3 linked regions of the Arabidopsis thaliana genome follow. The protein of the gene in region 1 interacts with the protein of each later gene in a pairwise test. Each region holds a gene or a part of one and is shown on either strand. Other genes may lie near its edges.

The links.
Region 2: the proteins of AT3G56570 (region 1) and AT1G44830 interact in a two-hybrid assay, tested with the Arabidopsis thaliana proteins (one large-scale study listed by BioGRID).
Region 3: the proteins of AT3G56570 (region 1) and AT5G50010 interact in a two-hybrid assay, tested with the Arabidopsis thaliana proteins (one large-scale study listed by BioGRID).

The regions. Positions count from the first base shown.
Region 1 is NC_003074.8:20,956,479-20,960,237, reverse strand, and holds the start of AT3G56570 (SET domain-containing protein), read right to left. Parts: upstream 1,655-3,759; 5' UTR 1,579-1,654; coding exon 1,568-1,578; intron 1,491-1,567; coding exon 1,115-1,490; intron 1,037-1,114; coding exon 840-1,036; intron 192-839; coding exon 1-191. Other genes in the region: NAC065 (NAC domain containing protein 65), read right to left, coding at 3,371-3,567.
Region 2 is NC_003070.9:16,931,556-16,935,084, reverse strand, and holds AT1G44830 (Integrase-type DNA-binding superfamily protein), read right to left. Parts: upstream 1,387-3,529; 5' UTR 1,294-1,386; coding exon 658-1,293; 3' UTR 517-657; downstream 1-516.
Region 3 is NC_003076.8:20,346,930-20,350,688, forward strand, and holds the start of AT5G50010 (transcription factor bHLH145), read left to right. Parts: upstream 1-1,685; 5' UTR 1,686-1,754; intron 1,755-1,903; 5' UTR 1,904-2,301; intron 2,302-2,412; 5' UTR 2,413-2,509; intron 2,510-2,607; 5' UTR 2,608-2,626; coding exon 2,627-3,562; 3' UTR 3,563-3,759.

The sequences.
Region 1 (3,759 bases):
CTTTGGCTTCGTCATCAGTGTTTTCACCAGGAACTTCCTCAAAAGACTGCTCAGGCGAGGAAGAAATTTTACTGGAAGGCTCGTCTTCATCAGTGGTCTCATTTGCAGCATCATCGTTGTCAGATTCATCAGCTTCAGAATCGGATTCATGAGTGAAGTGAACGTCTTCTGCCCCAGTTTTATGATTAAAGCTGCAAAATGAAATAAACAGGCAATACTAAGAAGAGTGGACAATGAGTAAATCATCAAGCATTTGTCAGGAAATTCACCTAGCATGCTAGAATCACATTTAGTTCATCGAAACCGACTTCTAAGGATCATTTTTTCCACATGAAAAAAAAAATCAAAACGGAAAAGCACAGATCCAAGTAAATAACCAATAAGATGCTGCAATCCAGAAGAAGGCTGTGAAAAAAATCAGCACATTGATTGCTAACTGTATAGATTATCTGCAATCACTGACAGGACTGGGAACATACTCGGTCTTATCAAAGTGATTGAACCTAACGAGACCTTAAAATCTACACAGCGGAAATCTCTTGAGGACAACATAAACAAGCAAATGTTGGTCCAACAACTAGGCAAATTGGCCGATATACAAGATGCAATAAAAACTCACAAGTCTGGGAAGTGAACAGAGAAATAAGGAAAACATCTATATGACCATAAACTAAGTAACTAACTATATAAGTCTATGGTTAATGCAAAGCTTAGGGAGTAAAAACAGCTGATACAGGAAAGCATTTCTAAGGTATTAAACCTCAATTCTAACAACTTTCTTTGGTTGATACATATTTAGCTTAACAAGCCCTATGAAGACAAATGTGAGGTAAACTTACAGGTCTGCAAGAGGAACCATCCCGGATCCATGGTAATCATCGATTTCGAAAGACCGTGAAGCAATTAAACTCTTAGCAGCAAGATACTCTTTGATTCCAAACGAATCAGAATCAACATTCTGAGGCAGTGAAGAGGTAAGCGGCAAAATGTTTTCTTTCCAATCCTCATATATAAGAACATGATCTTCCTTCACCAACTGCCTACAAAAAATTCAAACTGATGAGTAGTGAATTCAACTACAATGCAATGGTAAATCAAAATTTGGAAAGGAAACCTTATGAAGCTCAGTTCCAGATAAGAGAGAATCTAAGTCTTCAAGAGACCAAACAAGAGGCAAATCTTCTTGAATAGGAAGAATCTGAAGATAACCAGCCCAAGGAGATTCTTCACCTAAGCTTCTCTCGTACATGAGAGCCACAGAGAGACCTAAACTTCCATCTAAATCAGCAGATTCGATCATCTCACGAGCTCCACTGGTTTTGATAGTGAGACAAGCAGTTTTTGAGATATTGGCAACAACATCTCCTTCCTTCAAATCGCAGAATGCTCTCACAGAGACACCATCGTTTTCGTCGTCGACGAGGTTGAGAGCTTCGCTGCAATCAACGCCGTTAGCTTGCATCCATCTCTTGAATGCTCTTAATCTCCTACTAACAATGCGAGAGACGAGAAATTAAACAAGGTAAAATTAAAGGTTCTATTCATTGACTATAGAGCGAGAGAGAACCTTGTGGCCATGAGTGAAGGTCTCCGATGAAATCGCCGGAGGGAAACAAAACAACGTCCGGTGAGAGAGACAACGACGGCGATAAATGAATAAAGGGTTTATGATGTTCAGTAACATACGAAGAGTATTGACGAAAATACCCTTCCATCTGAAAATTAAATAAACCTGAAGTAATTTGGATAACAGCTTCTAATTGCCACACTTTAATTACGGGGAAATTATTTATATGTTTTGTATCTTCCCTTTTAAACATTATCAAACTAGTAATCTATGCATCACATACAAATACTCCATTTCATTTTTGTAATGAGTTTAGCGATAATATGCATACAAATTTAAGAGTGTTCAATCCGAATTTTGGTTTAGTTTTGAATCTTCTGATACGTGACGAAAAGAAAAAAAACTTTTGATACGTAAAATAGTATCTAAAACAAAACATTTATCATTGGGATAAACAGTTTAGTACTCAAATTCAGAGTTTGGTATTTAATCCTAAAATATTAATAAAACTTTGATTTTTTTTGTTTGGTTTGAATTTAAATTCAAAATTTTGGATAAAGAAAAAGGTGAATGTATTCATACCATATTAATATATAATTCGATTTGAATTCGGATCCGATTATTCAGAATAAACACCCCTTGATATCAATGTAGACACTTATAGCCTCAACCCTTAGTTATGTTAGAAGTTATCGACTCTCACGTCATTGTAGGAGATTTTTCAGATTGTGGTTTAATCTGTATTTATTTGACATGGAGGTTTATCTTGCAAAAAAAAATTATATTGAGGGTTTTTTGCACAAAATCCTTATGTATTCAAACGGAGTTATCGACTGCCACGTCATCGATATACGGGAGGGTTGTATTGCAGGTGATTTAGAGTAGGTGGGGTTGACTTGCATAATTCGGACTTGGAGGGTAACTTGCAAACGAGATTGATTTGGAGGGTTATTTTGCAGAAAACTCTTCTTTTAAAAAGTATTAAAGAGTTTTACATCCAACAGTGTTAAAGAGTTTTACATCCAACTTTGAATTAAAGGAAAAAGCCTAATGTTTAGTGTATAAATTTCCAAAAACAAAAATATCAAGTAAGACTTTGATCTTCAATACATTACCATTTCATACATTTATATATAGAATAGACTAAAGTATGTGCTATAAACAAACCAATAATAATAAAAACTTTGTAATCATTAATTATAACAAAGATAAATGAATACTCAGCCAAAACAACATCATGTTCGGGTGCAGGAGAAGAAACGACAACAAAATCTTCCTCGTTCACTCCATTTGATGAACTCTCGGCAATTTTCTATCCTCGCCACAACCAAAAACGCAGAGTTTTGGTGATTCCACCATCGATTACTCTTTTATTTCTGATTCATTTTCAAGAGTGTCGAACAATACCGGTTTACTAGAAAACATCGTGAAGGAAGGAATAAAAGAAAGAAAATAAATGCAGTTGATCTCAACCTATCTATGGAGTTTGATTTGAATTTTGTGTGTTTTATTTTTCCATCAAAAATAAATAAAATGCTACCATTGTAATTTTTGATTAAGAATTACAATGGTAAGCATTTTATTTTATGTTTATTTACTCTTTTATTTATGTTTTTTTGTGTTTTATTTATGTTTTCCACCATAAACCTGTTTCATGATTTTGTAACGTGATCATTGACAGAAGAACACACAAAATGGATTCATGACGCACCAACAGAAACAAGAAGAAGACTCAAAACAAGACTCAAAACAGAATCCAAAAAACTTAAAAACCTAAATAACTTGGGAACCAAGAAACACTTCTTACCTTGTCGTGTTGTGAGAAGAGTGATCAAGAGAGTATTCTTGCATTAACCAATCAGTTTTGACGCCTTCTGATGGTTTCCCAACGTAGTATGCAAGTGGCCTTTTGTTGCCAACGACACCATCTCCAGCTTTAAATCTTTTGGGCAGCCACTTTTGCGTGCCAATATCCTCCGTCAGTGTCGCCACGTTTCTGCCTTTTCGCACCATTACCAACTCTCTTTGTTTGGCTTAAACCTTGATCAACTTTGTTCCTCTCCGTTATAATAAACCATTCTTTATCGTTACCCTTCTGGAATTCCTCTGTTTCAAAAATATATATATATAGATATATGTTAATCACTTAATAAACTAAAGAATTCAACTAAGTAAACAATACATATGGACGG
Region 2 (3,529 bases), on another chromosome or scaffold:
TATACACTTACTCTATTCAACAATAATTAAGTAGGATTAATCATCGCCTTCTATGACAAGCCTCATGAAACTTGCTTCTTACTCTTTGACTTTGCAAAACTTTTCACATGAAAAATCTGCTTTCTGTTTAACTCATTAGCTAATACTTTTATATCCTTAATAAAGAAAAATCATATATACAGTACTTATATCGCATAGTCATCTTACCACCACTTATTTTGTATCATGTACACATTTACATCAAACAGTGTTAGTGTTAAAGTCAGTAACGCCAAATTTTGCATTCATACTATAAAATCTGAAATGATTGTTTTCAACACTAACTCTTAACTTTTAGGTTTCAGAATTTAATCAACAACAATATGATTCTGTACTTTTTCGTTTTTACCTTTTAACTTGTTATCATTCGAAGTTCTTTGTTCAAAAGCTATAAATCTATTTCCATACTTAACCACTACTACTAGATTTAGTGAACTCTTAACATGAAAAATATCTAATTTCAAAAATAATTTAGATATTGGTACAAAGATCCCCAAATGTTCCATACATTGTGAGAATTGATAGAAAAGGGAAGAAAAAAATGTATAACACATTGTATAAGTTACATAACTCAAGTATATATATTGAAACAAAGAATAAGGTATAATGAAAGTAGAATCAGCAGAAGTTCCATAATCTGATATCTCCTTCCTCAAAGAAATCATCAGAAAGTGATGTTGTCAAATACGGCGCGGAGACTCCATTAATGAACATGAACTGATCATCACCATCAAAGCAGTTGTACCATGATGATGATTCAGACAAGGAGACTTGTTGGTCATACTGTGACATGGAGACAACATCATAGAGATCTTCAGATGGAGAGGAAAGCAATGGAGATGAAGTAGAGACTGATGATGAGGAAGGATCTGTGTTGGCAGCAGCAGCTGCAGCTGCTACTCTTTGTATAGACTTAGGGGACATGTCATTGTTGTTATCACCATTGTTGATAATATGGTAGAGAGAAGTTGAGATCTCTGGGAAGTTGAGATTATTAGCTGAGGATCCTTTAAGACATAGGAGTGCTGCGTCGTAGGCTCTAGCCGCGGCTTCAGCAGTTGAGTAAGAACCAAGCCAGATCCTTGTCTTTTGATTAGGAGCTCTGATCTCTGAAACCCATGAACCCCAACTTCTCATTCTCACTCCCTTGTACTTCTTCATCCTTATGGATGATGATGATGTTGATGAGGATGATGAAGATGATGATGATGGAGATGACATTCTCTTTGGTGTCTTTTGAAGTGTTTTCACCATTTTTGATACTAATTAAGGGAGGAAGTTGGAGGAGAAGAATGGTGTGTTTCTATTTATAGAGAACAAAAATGGAAAGAGAAACATAAAGAACTCAAAAGAAAAAAAAATACTATGAACATAGTCAAAGAAAGTAGCATGGGGCACACACAAAGAGATTAATACTTTTCTTTTAAATAATGTAAGAGACAGGTGTTTTTAATTTATTTATAAAAAAGATTTTCCTTAATCACAATCCCATATGCTACACCCAATCACAGATCACTAATAAGAGAATCCCTATTTTTTATTTTCAAAAATGCATATTTATTGATTTGACCTCCAAGGCTCCAAGCTAATTCTTTAGTTCCACAAAAGTACACTATTGTTTACAACTAAAAGTTACTACTTCTTGAGCCTCAGAATCTTGAATAAAAATGTAAATAACAAAAATCAGTACTCATATGAGAATATTAATATCAAGATACGACAGAAAGTTATAAAACATTATAAGAGGAAACATTGGATTCTATTTTTAGAGGCAACTTCTAGGAGCTAAGAGCATGTGATTTTTTAAGGTACAAACAAAAGACAAAGTTAATCATAAGAATAATTTAACTATCGAATTATTTTGATAAATGAGATGCAAAATGAAATCACATGCATGATTATAGATATATATATATATATATATATAATACAAAAATTACAAGTTTTTTTTTTTGGTTAAAAGGCCTAAACATAATTCAGAATCTTAAACGTTAAAGTAGCTGAAGTCATGTTTACCAAGGTAATGCACAAGAGCTGGTGCTCTTCTGTCTTAATGGGACTTTTAAAACCGCGTTAACTAGCTCTTTGTGTCTCCTTGTCACACGTAAAATTCTCTCTGTAAAAAGGCTTTTACTAAATTAATTAAATTCAGATTCTTTTGTCAAACTGCATTGTAATATTAAATAATATTGTACTACTAACTAAATAAACTAAAGTAAAATCGTCAAACCTCATAATAGTCTTGCACTGTTTATTAACTAAACTAATCTGCGGTTATATTTAGTCGGCACTAGAATTAAATTAAGACGCGTAAGAGTACTACTAAACTAATCTATTCGTGTTCACGTTCTAGCCAGACGACTCTATTTCTTTTTTCTCTTTTGGGGTACTATAATATAACAATAATGAAGGTTTTTTATTCATATCAAGAAACGAATCAACAGAATTGTTCGTTGGAAAATGCAGGCAACATTTTACAAAAGTTTATGATAAAACAAAACCAACAATGTTCTACCATTTTTATATTAATATTTGCACTCAATGACTGTAATTACAAACGTGGTATTTGAATAAATAATCAAATTAATTCCATCTAAAGAGAATGATTCAAATTTTGACTATTTTACTTTCTTTTAAGAAAAATAATAGTTATAACTAAATCTTACGTGACGAATTCTTTAACATTAGTATTCTATGTGCACATCTAATTTATCAAAATGAAGTTTTTATATGTTTTGGCTCTTATATCTACAACTTGTAGAACACATTTCCTCTACTACATTATTTTCGTTATGTAGACATCTAATTTATAAAACATATTTATGTTTTTGTCATATAATCATGTTATCTATGTTTTTGGATATATCTATATTATTTAGCGGGTTAAAATATTTGTATATCCAAGCTTATCAAATAAATTATACTTTTCAAAGTCATTTACGGAAAAAAAACATTTTACATTTTCTCTCAATATTTTACCAATATGACTTTGCTATTTTCTAAAAACAACTATAACATTCTCATTCACCGAAAGATATCTCCATTTCATACCATTTAACTAATTCACTATTTTACATTTATTTTTATTTACCAATAAATATTTTCTTTTCACCACAATGTCACCATATTCACCCAATCACATTCTTTGTTGATTGTTTTAGTGTCTAGAGCTCGACAGTCTGAAGCTATACGTGTAACTGTGTAAGAACAAGAAGAAGATGAGTTACATTGTGTCATAAAGCTTGAGTGATCGGATCGGGTAAAATCCGAGAAGCTAAAGCAATTAAGCTAGCTACCTAACGAAGAATAGTGAGCGAACCCTACCTGAGGAAATAGACAAATAGAATCATAAATGAAGATTCATGCATAATGCATGTACTTTTGCACTAAAAATATCCTATTCGTAGTTTGGACAATCTTACCTGGCACCGTACTCAATATATGACCTTCCGTACCTTTCTTATCAATCAATCAATATTTTTCTTACAAG
Region 3 (3,759 bases), on another chromosome or scaffold:
GTAAGGATTAAGTGTATCCACTTTTAATTAATCCTAATTTATATACTATACGGATTAGTAATATTATCCTAATGGTTTTTGTATAACTTAAATATTTGGCGTGGTAATATTAAATGTTACTCTGCTTGTATGATTGTGAGCAACCAGATCTCTCTTATCTGTACATCAAAGATTTGGTTCAGGTTACTAAATCATGGGTCTTCTACATCTATCACTATTGAATATAGTTTCAGATGTCTTTGATTGTCAATGAAAAATATCTTGGGTATAATTATTACTAGTCAGTGCCATTTTCTGACAAGAGAGAACGTGTCTGTTTCTTCTGGGGGATTAATTAGGTTTAGATAATTTTGGTATCAAGTTTTATGATTGATAATATACGATTAAGTCATTGGCTAACTAGCTAAAAAAACTTTTTTTGGCTAACTTGGTAATTTTTGGTGATGCAGGTTGTTCATTTGGGTTTCTGTATAGAAATTATCTCCTTTTTTGTCCTTCGAAACTTATCTTACAGTATCTAATATTGAATTTATATTTTCATAATATAAATTATTGTGGATTGGTCATAAATTATGATCTCAATAATAATGTTCTTATGTTATCATTATTTGTTTGTATTTTTATAAGTCAGTGAGTATGACTTGTACCGTTCCTACTTCTATAGTGAAAACGGAAGTCTTATAATGATAATGAAGCTTGTTTTTTTTTCTTAACACTTTAGTATATATAGAAAAATATACATATTTTGGAAGAGATTATAATAAAGAAAAGATGAAGAGCAATCAATTGTCTTGTAGGATTTTCCTTTCTTCTTGTTATATTTATCGTCACATATTTCATCGTTTTTTCACTATAAGTGCAATAGATACATTTTCCACGAAAGTGTTTTGGAGATCCATATGAAAATAGACCAACCAGAATGGGAAGACAAAACATAATGTGAAACCCAAAGAAGATGGAAATGGAGGGTGCAAAAAGGTAAAAAGTAAAAGTAGAAATGATTTGGGGTTTGAACGGTCAAGCCATTGCAAACGAGAGTATTTGAGAAATGATTGGACCTTCTTCTTCTTCACATTGGATACTTTCACTACTTTTCTTACTGACGATGAACGAAAGTACGAAACCAACAAAATACATAAGCGAGCGTCTTATAAAACATGATTGCATGAAGTAAGTATACTTTGGCTTCAAATGGATTTTTTTTTTTGTATAGCTTCATTGATGATCATTTTTATATTATGTGAATGATATTTGTGTTTCGGTGGAATTGAAAGATACTAGATTCCGTTAGCTGAATTTGTTTACATGTGATGAAAAGTGAAAGTCGACTGATTCTTCTTTCCAACCAAAACAAGCTATTTGGCATAATTTATTTTTCCACCAAATGGGCAAATGTATATCTTTTAGCCAAATATAAATAAGCCGAAAAAGCATGTTAACAACAATATGGATTATGAGTATATCTTACTAATTAGTAATTACATCGAGAAAAATAAACAACTATTTAGATTTTGAACCCACCAAATTCAGCTAATTTTCCCAAAAACATTTGTTATCGGATTTGGTAAACACTGTGGCATCACGATACCTAAACTTTAACGCACGCACGCATCTCTGTTATGATGAAGGTCACTTTCGTCTTTTTCTCTTGTATATATCTTCTTCCTCGCTAACTTCTCTTCGCCATCACTGAAACTAATATCTCTCTGCTTCCTCCTTAGAACTTCTATTTGCTTCTCTTGCATTCCACTTTTGTGAGTTTCTATTATCTTCAGTTTTCGAGATAGAACTTATAAACTCTGTAATAATATGCATTGTGCATATTTTTCTAGGTTAAGTTATTTGTTTTAAAGTGTTCTGTTTCTTGCTAGCACTAAATCTATTGCTCTCGTTTATTTTGCAGATTCATTTGAAGTAGTGAGATTGACTCCAGAGATAAAACAAGAAAGAGCAACAAAGCAACAGCATGCGGTGGTGGTTGTGTCTTTCTGCTTATGTTTTTCGTACAGTAGTAGTCTTCTGTCGTGTGATTCTGTAAACTGCGATCTTACTTCAGACATAGCTTTTTTATGTAATGGGGTCGTCTTTTTTCTTCACATTCCCTTACTTTGTCCGCCAAATTATTTAAGACTTCGTTTGGATACTCTGTTTTGGGAGAAGGAATCAGTTGGGGAGAAAGTAGTTATGGTTTGTCAATCAGCGGGACAGACAAGATTTCGTACACTCAAACACGAACACGGTATCACAGGAAACATTGTAGTTAGAGTCATTGCATGCTTTCAACCTCTCCAAGATTGCCAGGTTATTTTCTTGTTTGATGAGTTTATGTTATTGCAATATATTTAGATTTTTAAACCACCAGAACTTTTTTTTATTGATTTCGTTTTAGCTTTGATGTTGTGTATTTTGCAGGCTGAATATTTCCGTCAATTGTTGAAGCCCGTCACGTAGAGTAGCTCGATACTTATCGTTCTTGTTTCAAGCCTAGTTTCTTCTATCCATTTAGTTGGTAAGTTCCAGTCTTTGCACACATAATCTTTTGACCTCCCATTCTTGATTATAAGTAGCTGATTTGTTTGAGATGATGATGTCCTCTGTTTTGGATAGTTGATTTGTTTAGTGTTGGATGGGACAAGATCGTGGGTTTGGGTTTCCTACTCAGCGCTTGTGTTCCTTGTCTTCCCTAGCTCTGTCTCATCTCGGGAAGCAAGACTTGAATTTAGTATCTAAAACCTGCGGCGACACCACCGACATGTTTTCTACTCGTGGATCTTATCAAGTTTCTACCCAAGTCTCTCAATCCTATTTTGATGGGTATTGTGGATGGGTTCATGGGTCATCCCACCTACAGCAGCAGTTCTTGCCTCCTCAAAACCAATGTATGAAGCAAGTACCTCTTCAAGTAGACGGTGTTATATCTAAAGCTGAGGAACAATGTAGTCAGAAGAGGTTCCTAGTGTTTGATCAGTCTGGAGATCAGACGACTTTGCTACTCGCTTCCGATATACGGAAATCTTTTGAGACCCTAAAACAGCATGCCTGTCCTGATATGAAGGAAGAGCTCCAAAGAAGCAACAAAGATTTGTTTGTTTGTCACGGAATGCAAGGAAATAGCGAACCGGATTTGAAGGAGGATTCGGAAGAACTAAATGCATTGCTTTACTCTGAAGATGAGAGTGGTTATTGCTCTGAAGAAGATGAGGTTACAAGCGCAGACCATTCCCCAAGCATTGTAGTATCAGGCCGTGAGGACCAAAAAACATTTCTTGGAAGCTATGGACAACCATTAAATGCTAAAAAGAGAAAGATACTCGAAACCTCGAATGAGAGTATGCGGGACGCTGAATCGAGCTGTGGTAGTTGTGACAACACAAGGATTAGTTTTCTGAAACGTTCTAAGCTGTCTAGTAACAAGATAGGAGAAGAGAAGATATTTGAGACTGTAAGCCTCTTGCGCAGTGTAGTCCCCGGGGAGGAACTGGTGGACCCGATCTTAGTCATCGATAGAGCCATTGATTACCTTAAATCATTGAAGATGGAAGCGAAAAATCGAGAAGCATGAGGTTCTTTGTTTGTAGGATACCTAAGACATATTAGCATTGGCAAGTGGACTTGGTTTCTAAACAAAGTAGTAGACATATTGGACCGTGGTACTCTTGTCAAGCTACAAAGGGATCAGGTTGTTGCTAGTTGGAAGATAAACCAAATAATGTTTCGGAGTTGCAAGAGAAGGAATTGATATTAAAATGCAAATTGAAT